Linked DNA regions of Arabidopsis thaliana. The protein of the gene in region 1 interacts with the protein of each later gene in a pairwise test. Each region holds a gene or a part of one and is shown on either strand. Other genes may lie near its edges.

The links. Proteins that work in one complex are often made in the same cells at the same time.
Region 2: the proteins of BRCA2B (region 1) and DMC1 interact in binary tests that used the Arabidopsis thaliana proteins (3 or more experiments, as listed by UniProt).

What each region holds. Positions count from the first base shown.
Region 1 is NC_003076.8:235,096-243,119, reverse strand, and holds the start of BRCA2B (BRCA2-like B), read left to right. Parts: upstream 1-2,013; 5' UTR 2,014-2,208; coding exon 2,209-2,362; intron 2,363-2,448; coding exon 2,449-2,592; intron 2,593-2,727; coding exon 2,728-2,889; intron 2,890-3,133; coding exon 3,134-4,120; intron 4,121-4,212; coding exon 4,213-4,337; intron 4,338-4,424; coding exon 4,425-4,579; intron 4,580-4,740; coding exon 4,741-4,863; intron 4,864-4,935; coding exon 4,936-5,121; intron 5,122-5,195; coding exon 5,196-5,277; intron 5,278-5,376; coding exon 5,377-5,427; intron 5,428-5,513; coding exon 5,514-5,595; intron 5,596-5,694; coding exon 5,695-5,806; intron 5,807-5,889; coding exon 5,890-5,961; intron 5,962-6,259; coding exon 6,260-6,458; intron 6,459-6,526; coding exon 6,527-6,709; intron 6,710-6,995; coding exon 6,996-7,138; intron 7,139-7,211; coding exon 7,212-7,274; intron 7,275-7,363; coding exon 7,364-7,568; intron 7,569-7,671; coding exon 7,672-7,845; intron 7,846-7,937; and 2 more. Other genes in the region: AT5G01650 (Tautomerase/MIF superfamily protein), read left to right, coding at 1-53; PRA1.B5 (prenylated RAB acceptor 1.B5), read left to right, coding at 1,007-1,678. UniProt on the Arabidopsis thaliana protein: Involved in double-strand break repair and/or homologous recombination by mediating RAD51- and DMC1-facilitated DNA repair. Plays an essential role in both somatic and meiotic homologous recombination.
Region 2 is NC_003074.8:8,097,166-8,102,632, reverse strand, and holds DMC1 (DNA repair (Rad51) family protein), read left to right. Parts: upstream 1-1,700; 5' UTR 1,701-1,892; coding exon 1,893-1,909; intron 1,910-2,078; coding exon 2,079-2,161; intron 2,162-2,576; coding exon 2,577-2,668; intron 2,669-2,761; coding exon 2,762-2,833; intron 2,834-2,922; coding exon 2,923-2,961; intron 2,962-3,073; coding exon 3,074-3,131; intron 3,132-3,214; coding exon 3,215-3,260; intron 3,261-3,337; coding exon 3,338-3,383; intron 3,384-3,542; coding exon 3,543-3,604; intron 3,605-3,705; coding exon 3,706-3,772; intron 3,773-3,855; coding exon 3,856-3,948; intron 3,949-4,034; coding exon 4,035-4,103; intron 4,104-4,187; coding exon 4,188-4,266; intron 4,267-4,374; coding exon 4,375-4,541; coding exon of another isoform or gene 4,542-4,553; exon of another isoform or gene 4,554-4,594; intron 4,595-4,640; coding exon 4,641-4,685; 3' UTR 4,686-4,955; downstream 4,956-5,467. Other genes in the region: AT3G22870 (F-box and associated interaction domains-containing protein), read right to left, coding at 5,162-5,467. UniProt on the Arabidopsis thaliana protein: May participate in meiotic recombination, specifically in homologous strand assimilation, which is required for the resolution of meiotic double-strand breaks. Mediates interhomolog recombination during meiosis.

The DNA of each region.
Region 1 (8,024 bases):
ATCAAAGTCAAGAATATGCACAATGTTTACACGCTTTACACCAGCACTACTAGGTCATGAATAGGGAACAAATACATCTTATGTGTGTAAGTTCATCATCATAAGACGGACCTATAACTTTTACTCATAAACTAGGCATTATAAACAATTAAATCAAATGCATAAACCGTTCCACTACTCGAATTCAATCTTTACACCCACACTGTTGAGTTATTTAGGAGATTCGTTCAACTTCTCTAAATCCGTTGTCTAACTGGCTTAGAGGGTCATCCATCATCTGGAGTGTTTATGCCTATAACCACCTGATATATCAATTATACATTTCTTTTCTCGTGTGGTTCTTCTTGCAGGGATCCTTCTTTGGTTGGAACGGGGCGACTCTTTAATTCCGTGGTAGGTGATTAGTGTGATTGTCTTGAAATGTATGATCTACTCTCATCGATCAAGTAACTTTGAACTACTTCGTATTGTAAACATATCTAAGGTTTGATGGAGTTGCATTAAGAAATAACATTTATGCTATATATGATGCTACAACTTACTATCAGGGTAAACAATGGTTATTTAGTCTTTGTCTACTCGTTAGATATAATTATGTTTAGAATTCGAAGATGAATGTTATCAAAGAAAAAAGGATTTGACATTGTCAAGTCTACTACTCCATATGACAGATCAACATTGTGTTAAAAATATTTTCTATTAGGGAAACTTCCTGTGACTGGAACATTAATGGTCAAATGCACTTTGCCTAAGTAATCAAGAATTATTGTATAAACTACGTTAAGCAAAAAAATAACCTGAGTTATAATATCAGGAGGTTATTTTTATTTTTATTTTAGCAAATGAATATAGATTAGCTATCAGATGAAGCAAGGTGTATAATCAAAGTTGAAAGACGCGTAATTGTGATCCTATATATACATAACACTACCGCAACTTCAGCAACCTCTAAATCATTCGTCTCCTAAAATTTTCCAATCTCAAAATCCCAAAAGAACAAAATCGAATGGTGTCAACAAATCCCCCTGTTCTTCCAATTTCCACCACCGCAACAGACACCACCAATCAGCCTCCGATTGTAACCGCTGTGGTGGAATCGCAACCTCCAGTCGTCCGTGCATTTGTCAACGGTGTGACCGAGACGGTCTGTGGTGGTCTATCTCGTAGCCGTCCGTGGTCAGAGCTCCTCGATCGATCCGCTTTCACAAAGCCTGACTCTCTCTCCGAGGCCGGGACGCGATTCCGGAAAAATTCCTCTTATTTCAGGGTGAATTACGTTTGCATTGTCGCTCTGATCCTTGGTTTCTCTCTTCTCGCCCACCCATTCTCTCTCATCCTCCTCCTATGTCTCGCCGCTTCCTGGCTCTTCCTCTACCTCTTCCGTCCATCAGATCGTCCTCTTATCCTCTTCGGCCGATCTTTCTCCGAATACGAAACTCTCGGTGGCCTAATCCTCTCCACGATCGCAGTGATCTTCTTCACAAGCGTCGGATCTGTATTGATATCCGCTCTCATGATCGGAATAGCAACAATCTGTGTCCATGGCGCCTTTAGAGCTCCCGATGATCTCTTCCTCGACGAACAAGATCATGCCGCCTCCGGATTCCTCTCATTCATCGGTGTTCCCGCGATCCCCTCTGTAGCACCCTCTGCCTCCTCAGCGGCTTCCCCCGTGTAAATTATAGTTCTCAGAATCTGGCGTGTTTAGAGATTTGAAGGTGGAGATTGTTGCAATGTAATTTTCTGTGATACTTGACCATTGTTGCAATGTAATTTTCATTGAAGTCAGTCACCAATCACATTGAACAGATGTTTTAAAATGTCCACGTAAGCAATTATTGTTTGGAACGATTTCGGGTTAGCATTCGTGCCGTTAGTTACCGCAATAAAAGGCCGTGGCAATATCACACTTGTCTTGGAACGCTATGTCCGTAAAAACCAAGCCCAAAGTTAAAATAAAACCACGCGTCTCATAATTTCGGCCCAAATCTTTTTCAACTTTCCCGCCTTTGTCAGAACTTTTAACTTTTTGGATTTTTGGTGATGATTTTGGTTTGGGGAAAGAAAATAAAACAATAAAAATAAAAATTCCGCACTCCCGACTCCTCCCTCTTGGCGTGGTAGGCAATTCTGAATCGCGAGGTTTAGTTCTCCGGCTGAATCATATAACGACGAATCGGAAAACTTGGAAACCCTAGAACTGAATAAATGTCGACGTGGCATTTATTTTCCGATTCCAGCGGCGATGGTTTCCGGTGGGAAGTCGCTGGCCGGATTCTTCAGTCCGTCTCGGATTCTACGCCAACCAAGGCGCTCGAATCGACAGCTCCTCTACCTTCCATGGCCGATCTCTTGCTCCAAGGTGATTCTTCGTATCTTCCTTTTCTTTGTCGAATCGTGTTTGTCATGTGACTCAAAGGAGATTGAATTATTATTTGATGCTTCAAGGATGCTCGAAGCTTATAGAACGGGAAGAATCGATGCCTGGGGAAATCCCAATGTTCAGGACTGGGCTGGGGAAGTCTGTAGTTCTTAAAGAGTCTTCGATTGCTAAAGCCAAATCCATTTTAGCAGAGAATGTTGCTTATTCAGGTATTTTATGTGACAGTATTGAATTCCCTTGACTAGTCATTTGTTTCTGAATTCGCTTGAATTGTTACTTAATGTTGGTGAATATGTGTTCCTGAAAATCTTTTGAATGTTCCATGTTCTTGGCTACACTTTTAGATTTGCAGAACACAAATTGCTCAATTCCCCAAACGAGACAAGTGGATACAGCTGAAACTATGCCAATGTTCAGGACGGCCTTGGGGAAAACTGTCCCTTTGAAAGAGTCTTCAATTGCCAAACCTTTGTCTATTCTAGGAAGTGATATGATAATTGACTCAGGTGTGTTCTTATCTCCTCTTTTTTTAAGTCTTATATCCAGCTGTGTGCGCATTTACATATGAACTTGTTGTTTGTGCTGCTACTCCGTTCAACTTCCAGGTTTCTTGAGTTTGGTTGTTATCAGATAAAACGATGAATAGTGAAGAACTAATCAACACACATCTTACTTCGTTTAGAGAATAAATATTAGAAGTGACATTTTTTCATAGTTTATTTGTTAATAAGATTCTTTTTGATTGTGTAGACAACGTTCTTCCCAGGGAGAGTGGGTTTGGTGTTCCCAACAGTCTTTTTCAGACAGCTTCCAACAAAAAGGTTAATGTATCTTCTGCCGGTTTAGCAAGAGCCAAGGCATTGTTAGGACTAGAAGAAGATGATTTGAATGGATTTAACCATGTGAACCAGTCGTCTTCTTCCCTCCAGCAACATGGGTGGTCCGGTTTAAAAACTCATGAGGAGTTTGATGCTACAGTGGTTAAGCATCATTCAGGAACTCCAGGACAATATGAGAATTATGTATCTGGGAAGAGATCTGAAATCTTAAATCCATCGTTAAAGGTGCCTCCAACAAAGTTTCAGACTGCTGGTGGAAAATCATTGTCAGTGTCAGCTGAGGCGTTGAAACGTGCCAGAAACCTTCTTGGTGACCCTGAGTTAGGGTCTTTCTTTGATGATGTAGCTGGAGGTGATCAATTTTTTACACCACAGAAAGATGAAAGGCTAAGTGATATTGCTATAAACAATGGAAGTGTCAACACAGGTTATATTGCTCATGAAGAAAAGACAAGCAACAAACATACGTCAAATAGTTTTGTATCTCCTCTTCATTCATCTTCAAAGCAATTTAGATCAGTTAACTTGGAGAACCTAGCTTCAGGGGGTAATTTGATCAAGAAATTTGATACGGCTGTTGATGAGACCAATTGTGCTCTGAATATCAGTAAACCTGCTACACATGGACTATCAAATAACAGGCCTTTAGCATCAGATATGGCAGTGAATAATTCCAAGGGAAACGGTTTCATTCCAAGAGCTAGGCAACTTGGAAGGCCTGCTGATCAGCCACTTGTTGATATAACAAATCGCAGAGATACAGCTTATGCAAACAATAAACAAGACAGTACCCAAAAGAAAAGGCTGGGAAAGACAGTCTCCGTTTCTCCTTTCAAAAGGCCAAGGATTTCATCCTTTAAAACTCCTTTAAAGAAAAATGCTCAGCAAGCTTCAAGTGGTAATATATACGATTAATTTTAATTTTAATTTTTTGTTAATCTAATTGGTTGGTTCTCAGATTTATAATTTTGGTGTCCTGTCTATTATCAGGTTTGTCTGTTGTATCGTGTGATACACTTACTTCCAAAAAGGTACTTTCTACAAGATATCCAGAAAAGTCTCCAAGAGTATATATCAAGGAGTTTTTTGGAATGCATCCGACAGCTACGACCAGGGTAAAATCTTTTTGTCCCTTTCACCTGTTCCTGCGTTACATAAATTTTTTCTTCATTCACTCAAACACATTTACGAGGTGGTTTTAGATGGATTATGTGCCAGACCATGTCAGAAGAATCAAATCAAGTAATGCAGATAAATATGTATTCTGTGATGAGTCTTCTTCAAACAAGGTTGGAGCTGAAACTTTTCTTCAAATGTTGGCTGAGTCGGGTGCTTCCTTACAACATGCATCCAGAAAGTACTTTCTCTGTCCCTTGAAATGTTAACCGTGTTATATGTTTATTATATCAGAAAAAGTGTGTGACTGTTCGTTTGAAGCTTGCATGTGATTGTCACTCTATTAGATAGACAGTTTGATGTCTATATCTATTAACTTATCTATCACTACATATGCACTAGGTGGGTTACTAATCACTACAGGTGGATAGTCTGGAAACTTGCATGCTACGACATATACTACCCAGCCAAATGCAGAGGAAACTTTCTAACAATCACCAATGTTCTTGAGGAACTAAAATACAGGTTTCCCAGTCTCACAACACAACTCGTTACTTAAACTCATGCAAAGTCTAACATGGTTAATCTTCTTAATAGATATGAGAGAGAGGTCAATCATGGTCATTGCTCTGCAATCAAGAGGATTCTGAGTGGTGATGCTCCAGCTTCTTCAATGATGGTCCTCTGCATATCAGCTATTAATCCAAGGACCGATAATGGTTCTCAGGAAGCACATTGTTCTGATAATTGCAGCAATGTGAAAGTCGAACTCACTGATGGGTGGTATGAAATTGCTACTGCTGTTCTGTTACCTGTTTTCTTGTCTCATTTCCATAGGATTTTTTTTTAAATCACAGGTACTCGATGAATGCTGCTCTGGATGTCGTGCTAACCAAGCAGCTGAATGCTGGCAAATTGTTTGTGGGGCAGAAGCTTCGAGTAAGTTATATTCATGCAAGATATACTTTGTTTTGCAACACAGATTTTGGTTAGATCACTGACTTGCAGCATGCTTACGTTCTTATCTCTTATCTGAAGATCCTCGGGGCAGGACTTTCTGGCTGGGCTACCCCAACATCACCACTTGAGGTTTCCTAGACTTTGCATTTTATAAGATTTTCTGATATCTTCTCAGGTTGGTTTGTTCTTAGAGTTTCGTTCAACCAAACTTTCAGGCAGTGATTTCAAGTACAATCTGTTTGTTGTTGAATATTAATGGGACATACAGAGCTCACTGGGCGGACCGACTAGGCTTCTGTAAGTAGCTTTATGCTGTGGACCTCACTACATCATCTGAGTTCTTATTGCTTTCATATTATTATCTTTCTATTGATCGTTCTTAATCTCTTCCTCAAGGTAAAGAAATTGGTGTCCCTCTGGCTTTCAACTGTATCAAGTGCAATGGGGGTCCAGTGCCTAAAACGCTAGCTGGCATCACACGAATATACCCCATCCTATACAAGGAAAGGTCAATATAAATGTGTGCCTGTTAATGCACTTTGGTCTTCCTTATACTTCTCGCAAAGCATTATATTTTCTTGATGTATACAGGTTAGGTGAAAAGAAGTCAATAGTTCGATCAGAGAGAATAGAAAGTAGAATTATACAGCTGCATAATCAGAGGCAAGTTTCCTTATAACTGTAGAGTAGCAATTTTTAGTAACATTTATGTGATCAATTTAGCACATCACTTTCTAAGAAGTGTCAGATTAACTCATCAAAGCTAGAGACATTTGTTACATACACCAATATTAGGGTTCTAAGTAGTTTTTGGGACAGACAAAGAATCTTTGTATTTATTAGAAAAGCTTCTGGCCTTCTGAATATGGATGGTTTTGCCAACAGAAGAGCCAAAGATTGCAGTTCCTCATGGTTTATTCTCATTCGTACTTTTCTTTCTTTCTTTTTCTATTTTCCGTAGGCGCTCAGCTCTTGTTGAGGGTATTATGTGTGAGTACCAGAGAGGAATTAATGGTGTTCACAGCCAAAACGATACTGACAGCGAAGAAGGAGCCAAGGTCTTTAAGCTGTTAGAGACGGCTGCTGAACCTGAACTTCTTATGGCTGAAATGAGCCTAGAGCAGTTGACATCTTTCACTACATATAAAGCAAAATTTGAGGTAGAATAGTAATTCCCTTTTCTTGATATATTGATTACAGTAATTAACTGCTTCAATCTGAACCTCAGGCAGCCAAGCAAATGCAGATGGAAAAATCAGTGGCAAAAGCTCTGGAAGACGCTGGTTTAGGTGAAAGGAACGTCACCCCATTCATGAGGATTAGGCTTGTTGGCCTGACGAGCTTAAGTAATGAAGGAGAGCACAATCCAAAAGAAGGCATTGTAACAATCTGGGATCCCACGGAGAGACAGGTACATTCAAATGCCTAAATCTGAATGTTTCATGCACAATTTAAAAGAAGGCATTTTTCTAATGGCTTATAAGTTTACACGAACCTTATCCATATGAGCTTATATGGAACGGGGAGTTCCAAATATAAGCTCGTCAGAGTTGCTGTGGACCTCGAATGGACTGAAATGCATATCAAAAAATCGTTACCATCACTGTACTGTTGCATTAAGAGCATCATCGATTAGCTTGTTCAACTTTTTTCTTGTAGATTCTTAAAACAGTTATCATTGTCTACTACTGTGACAGAGAACCGAGCTGACGGAGGGGAAAATATACATAATGAAAGGGCTAGTACCAATGAACTCAGATTCAGAAACACTTTACTTACATGCCAGAGGGTCAAGCTCAAGATGGCAGCCTTTGTCTCCAAAAGATTCTGAAAATTTTCAGTAAGTGGTTTTCTTTAGTAGACACTGGAATCTATCTCATTAATTTGTTCAATTTCCCTGATGATGTTTTCAGGCCTTTTTTCAACCCTCGTAAACCAATCTCTTTGTCAAATCTTGGTGAAATTCCTCTGTCAAGGTTAATCTCAGTAGTCCAAGCTTTTTATAAAACACTATTTACCGCACTTTGCTAATCTATACTCTATCATCTCTAATTATGTCCTTCAGTGAATTTGATATCGCTGCGTACGTTGTATATGTTGGAGATGCATACACAGATGTTCTACAAAAGAAGCAGTGGGTGTTTGTGACAGATGGATCCACACAACATTCAGGGGAAATCTCAAACAGTCTTCTTGCTATAAGCTTCAGCACCCCATTCATGGATGATAGCTCTGTTTCCCACATCAGCCATAATTTGGTTGGATCCGTGGTATGTACAAATTCTAATATTTGTCTAGTTTTACACTGAGAGAATATGCACCGAGAAATTATTGTTTGAAAAATATATGCTTTGTGGGCTTAATTTTTGGCAGGTCGGATTTTGCAATCTAATTAAAAGAGCAAAGGATGCGACAAACGAAATGTGGGTTGCTGAGACAACAGAGAACTCAGTCTACTTCATAAACGCAGAAGCTGCCTACTCTTCTCACCTTAAAACCCGCAGTGCCCATATCCAAACATGGGCTAAGCTCTATTCTTCCAAATCCGTTCGTTCTCGTCGACTTCCTCTTTCTATAAGTATTCGGTTCAAAAAGATTGTTCTATTGTATTAAGCCTTCTTGGTTTGCTCAATTTTCAGGTCATCCATGAACTTCGGCAAAGAGTCCTATTTATAATCGGTGCTTGTAAATCACCTTCATGCTGAAGATAAATCATACACCACCTC
Region 2 (5,467 bases), on another chromosome or scaffold:
TAAAATCTGATTAGAAAAAGGTATTTCTCTTCGTCTCTAGAACTAAATCTCTCTCTCTAAAAAAACAATCGTTTCTCCCTTTCTCCTTCCTGAAGATCGTTTTTTCATAAATCCATAGTAGTTTAAAAACGAAGCAGAGAGATGTTGAAAATCGTTTCTCATGAAATTAATCGATTATTCTCTGTGAAGTTCTTTAATCCACACAACTTTCCTCATGAACATGATAATAGTAGTAAATGGAGGTTTTTCCTATGGTTACTCTAGACGAAGGAGGATCTCCTTGTGTTGGACAGGTTTGTGATTTCTTTCCATGGATTAAAAAAATTTGATTGTTTGTTTATGATGAACGATTCTTTGGCTACGGAAGAGTGTCATGGAGTTCTGGCGAATTCTTTGGCTATGTTTGGTGATTTCGTTTTTAATCAAGTTGGGAATCAATAGGAAACAACTAAGCATACAACATAGATTAGAAGAGATATCAAGATGGATCTAATTTAAGTAAGATTTGGCGACTAATTCTAGATGATTAGGGTTATTTGTGATTTATTACAAGGCATTTGTGTTCTCATTGATTTGGCGAGTAATTCTGTATGACTAGGGTTATTTGTGTTTTCTTAAAAAGAATTTGTGTTCTTGTTGAAATCTTGTTCATTGGAATTATTTGTGTTTGGTAAATCTTCATTGGTGGCTAAGGATGTGTTTGTAGCTCTTACGGCGTTTGTTATTGGTGATGTCCATTATGGATGGCAAATTATGGATGGCACATTATGGATGATGAATCATGGATGACATATTATGGATGACGCATCATGGATTGTATATTATGGATTGATATGGTGAGATTTGTAAATCTTTTGGTCTTACATGTTAAGAGTAAAAGATGAAGAATTGGAGAAGCATGTCTAACATCCTAAAAACAAGCTATATGCGGTTGATTTGCTACAAATAATTTTTTGGTATCCATAATAACAAATCCATTTAAATATATCCATTCAGAAACCTTTCTACTGATCCGTATCCATTCTATATACCATGTCAATAATAATAGGAGATTCGATTAACCGTGTTTTGTAAAGAAACCAAAGTTCCATGTCCATAAGGTTTTGAAGGTGGAGGTCTCTGCAAACTGAAAAAAAAATCAACAAACAATTTTTTGGTGTCCATAATAACGAATCCATTTAAATATATCCATTCGGAAACCTTTTTACTGATCTATATCCATTTTATATAACATGTCCATGATAACAGGAGATTCGATTAACTGAAATCTCGATGCTACGTAGATGAAACGAGTTTGACACATGAGAGAGAGCAAAAATCAAATCAAACCGCCATTGTTGAAGAAGAAGAAGTTTCTTCTCATTTTTTACAAAGATGAAGAGAGAGAGAGGTGAAGAGAGAGAGAGAGATGAAGAGAGAGAGAGAGAGAAAGAGAGAGATGAAGAGAGAGAGAGAAAGAGAGAAAACGTGGGTTAAGATAATATTTTAGTTAAGAGGGTATTTTAGTAAAAAAACATAAAAAAGTGCCTAATCTTTTGAAAGTGCCTAAACACAGAAATAGTTTTAAAAAAGTGTTTAAGAGTGTAATATTCTCTTTTTTTCACCTAGATTCCTTCTATTGACCGTCGATAGACGGATGATAACTATGACGTGGCATTATCGCAGCCATCAAACAAAGTCATGTATAACAAAGAAGAGCACACAAACGAAAACAAATTCAGTTGCGGAACCCAAATTCAAATCAACGGAATTAGAATCACGCTTTCAATTCCGTAACCCGCCATTAAAAACCTTGAACCCTCGAAGCAAATCGAGCAAAGATTTTCAAATTTCGAATTTCAAAATTCTATCTCTCTCACTCTTCCAAGCTTAGAGACTCTTAGAGCGAGAAAATGATGGCTTCTCTTAAGTAAGTGATTGATCTCTCTCTTTCTCTCTACTACGATTCTTCTTCTTCTTCTCCATTCATCGTTTTGGTTTAAGCTTTGTCTTAAGTTTTGTGTACCTGACTCGCTTCTTCTCGTTTTTATTTTGTTTTCCGATGATCCTGATCTGTTTGTGTTGTTTCGGATTCATAGAGCTGAAGAAACGAGCCAGATGCAGCTCGTTGAGCGTGAAGAAAATGATGAAGACGAAGATCTATTTGAGATGATTGACAAATGTAAGATTTGAATTCGTTTTCAACTTTTACGATTCTTCACTTTTTCGTTTCAAATCTTCATCATCTGTTTTGGAATCGTCTCTGTGTGTTTATCTCTTCTAATTTCGCCCACTTTTGTTTATCTAAACCTCGTTGTTGCTTAATCGCTGGGTCTTATGAAATCAGATCTAGAATCGTTCATCTAATTTGAGGAATGTTCTCGCAATCTCTGTTAGATTTCGAATTTAAGTATGAATCTAGGATCGATATTGATTTCTGAACATGGTTCTCCTTGGTAACGAATAGTTTATGGTCCATTTCGTTTACTGTTTGTGGAATTCGAGTGTATATTAGTGTACATAGTTGTTTGATTTCTGTATCTGGCTAAAATCTCTAGCTGATTTGATCTCGGGACTTTTATTTTTGCTTGTGTCAGTGATCGCACAAGGTATAAACGCAGGAGATGTGAAAAAGCTACAAGAAGCTGGGATCCATACCTGCAATGGTCTCATGATGCATACCAAGAAGGTATTAACCAGCTTATTTAGCTTTGCTCATTGGGTTTATACTATGTAGATGTTGGTTGCATGAGTCGATTGTTTAAACTTATGTTTGATGCAGAACCTTACTGGAATCAAAGGTTTATCTGAGGCCAAAGTTGACAAAATCTGTGAAGCTGCTGAGAAAATTGTGGTAAGTTTAACGTTTCCATCTGTTGTTGCTATATCAGTGTTACTTTCTGCATTTGCGTCATTTTAATTGTCAAACCATTTCTCCTTCAGAACTTTGGATATATGACTGGAAGTGATGCTCTTATAAAGGTTAGACTCATTGTTGCTTGATCCCACTAACAGAACTATTAGATTTTGATATCCTATTCAACATTTCATATTAGATATTGAAACTTACAAGTTGTTTTTTAATTGTTTACAGAGGAAATCAGTTGTAAAAATCACTACAGGGTGTCAAGCTCTCGATGATCTCTTAGGAGGTATGCTAAGTTTTGCTTTAGATTTTTGCCATCTTGATCACACTACTTAAGTTCTGGTTTAATTATTTCACATTTCTTGCTAGGTGGAATTGAAACCTCAGCCATCACAGAGGCTTTTGGGGAATTTAGGTGAGAAACAGCTGAGCCAAGCTCTATAAGTTTCCTGTTAATAGCTTGTATTCTTATAGAGTTTAATTTCACTTCAGGTCTGGGAAAACCCAATTAGCACATACCCTTTGTGTCACTACGCAGGTTGGTTTCTTTCCTACAGTCTCAATATGAAATATATGTTGTCTTGTTTACATTTCAGAGGCATGAGATGAGATTTTACTTTCTTTCAGCATATAAACCATTGAGGTACTCTGTCTCTCAATGTCATTGGTATTCATTTTCTGTATTGATGTATTACAGCTACCTACAAACATGAAAGGAGGGAATGGAAAAGTGGCATACATTGACACAGAGGGAACCTTGTATCCTTAATATCTTATAACAAATCTTCTGACCAGATCTTGTGTCTTCATTAGATTGTTTCTATATTCCATGATTTTTCCTTAACCCCTAAATTTTGTAGCCGTCCTGATAGGATTGTCCCAATTGCTGAAAGATTTGGAATGGATCCAGGAGCTGTGCTTGACAATGTAAGCATTATTAACCTCACATCTTTACTTACTCTCAGGACTGTGACTGACATTCAAAAATCTTATTCATCTTGATATAACAGATCATTTATGCTCGTGCTTATACCTATGAGCATCAGTACAACTTGCTTCTTGGCCTTGCTGCAAAAATGTCTGAGGAACCATTTAGGATTCTGGTAAGTAAAACATGTCTGATAATTTTAGTTTAGTTATCCATTCAAATATGAGTTAAATTAGCTGAGTTTTCTGACCTTGTTTCCAGATTGTTGACTCGATCATTGCTTTATTCCGAGTGGATTTCACTGGAAGAGGAGAACTCGCAGACCGCCAGGTTAAACTTGCCTCCCACAACATTACTTACATTATCATTGGCACAATCTGGCTTTGCTCAATAGTCCCAGTTTCTGTGTTGCAGCAAAAACTAGCTCAGATGCTTTCCAGGCTAATCAAAATTGCAGAGGAGTTCAACGTTGCTGTCTACATGACTAACCAAGGTTTACTTTACACTAGTTTGATATAATGAGATAAAGCATCAATTCTTTTTTTGTTTCTTGGTTGCACTAACTTAGCAAGTATCATCTGTTTCATTTGGTGGTTTGCAGTCATAGCTGACCCAGGTGGTGGAATGTTCATATCAGACCCAAAAAAGCCAGCAGGTGGTCATGTACTAGCTCACGCAGCCACCATCAGGCTCTTGTTCAGGAAAGGCAAAGGCGATACACGTGTCTGCAAAGTCTACGATGCTCCGAATCTCGCTGAAGCTGAAGCCATATCCTTTTAACCAAATCCACACACACACACTTGCTTTGTTTTTGATTATTTCATATAATGCAATGACTTCATTTTTTTCCTTAACTGAAGAAATCACAGTTTCCAGATTACTCAAGGAGGCATTGCTGACGCGAAGGATTAGAGGAGCGAACTCTTTTATATGTCATAATCACGAATTATGTCTGTTCTTAACTTGCTGCTTGTTTCTGCATCGAATCAGACGTTTTAATTAAGTCTTTTTATTCTTAGTTTCTTGTTTACCAAATAAGACGATCATTACTTGATTCGGCTTACAAAACCAATCTATGTATCTGATAAAGCTGCAAACAAAACAACTCTGGTTCGTTTGTAAAAAGACAATAATGGCTTTATAACAAGTAACAAGTAAAAGTTCATTATGATCATTGATTAATCAGTTGCACTGAATAATGTGTTATTCCTCTCCAACTTATTCATCTCTATTTTAGTGGATGAAAAAACTCTTTAAATTTCTCTTTTTTATTCATCTAAGTAACGTAAAATAGAAATGAAAGGGATGAATAATTTTAATCATCTCGTTTTCTCACTTTGCCAGTTTTTTCCTGCACATCAATCGATTTCATAATTGCTGCAAAACTCTCATATTGTTTTGTCTCCTCTTTTGGGTTCCATGGCAATATGATACTTTTCAAGTTCGACAAGTCTCATCATGTTTCGCTTATATCGACGGTTTTCTGAACTGCTTTGTCTTCTCCTTTTGCATCCTGGAGGTTGCTTGATTTTCACTAAACTTGGAACATAAGGACACACATATAGCCAACTATCTTGGTGGGCAGGTTCTCCGAGATCAACATCTCGGACTTGTCCAGCCTCTCCAATGATGAAAACTTTGTCGCGTTTCAACGGTTGCCCGAAAATCACGGCGACTTTGTTCACCTCGTCAAT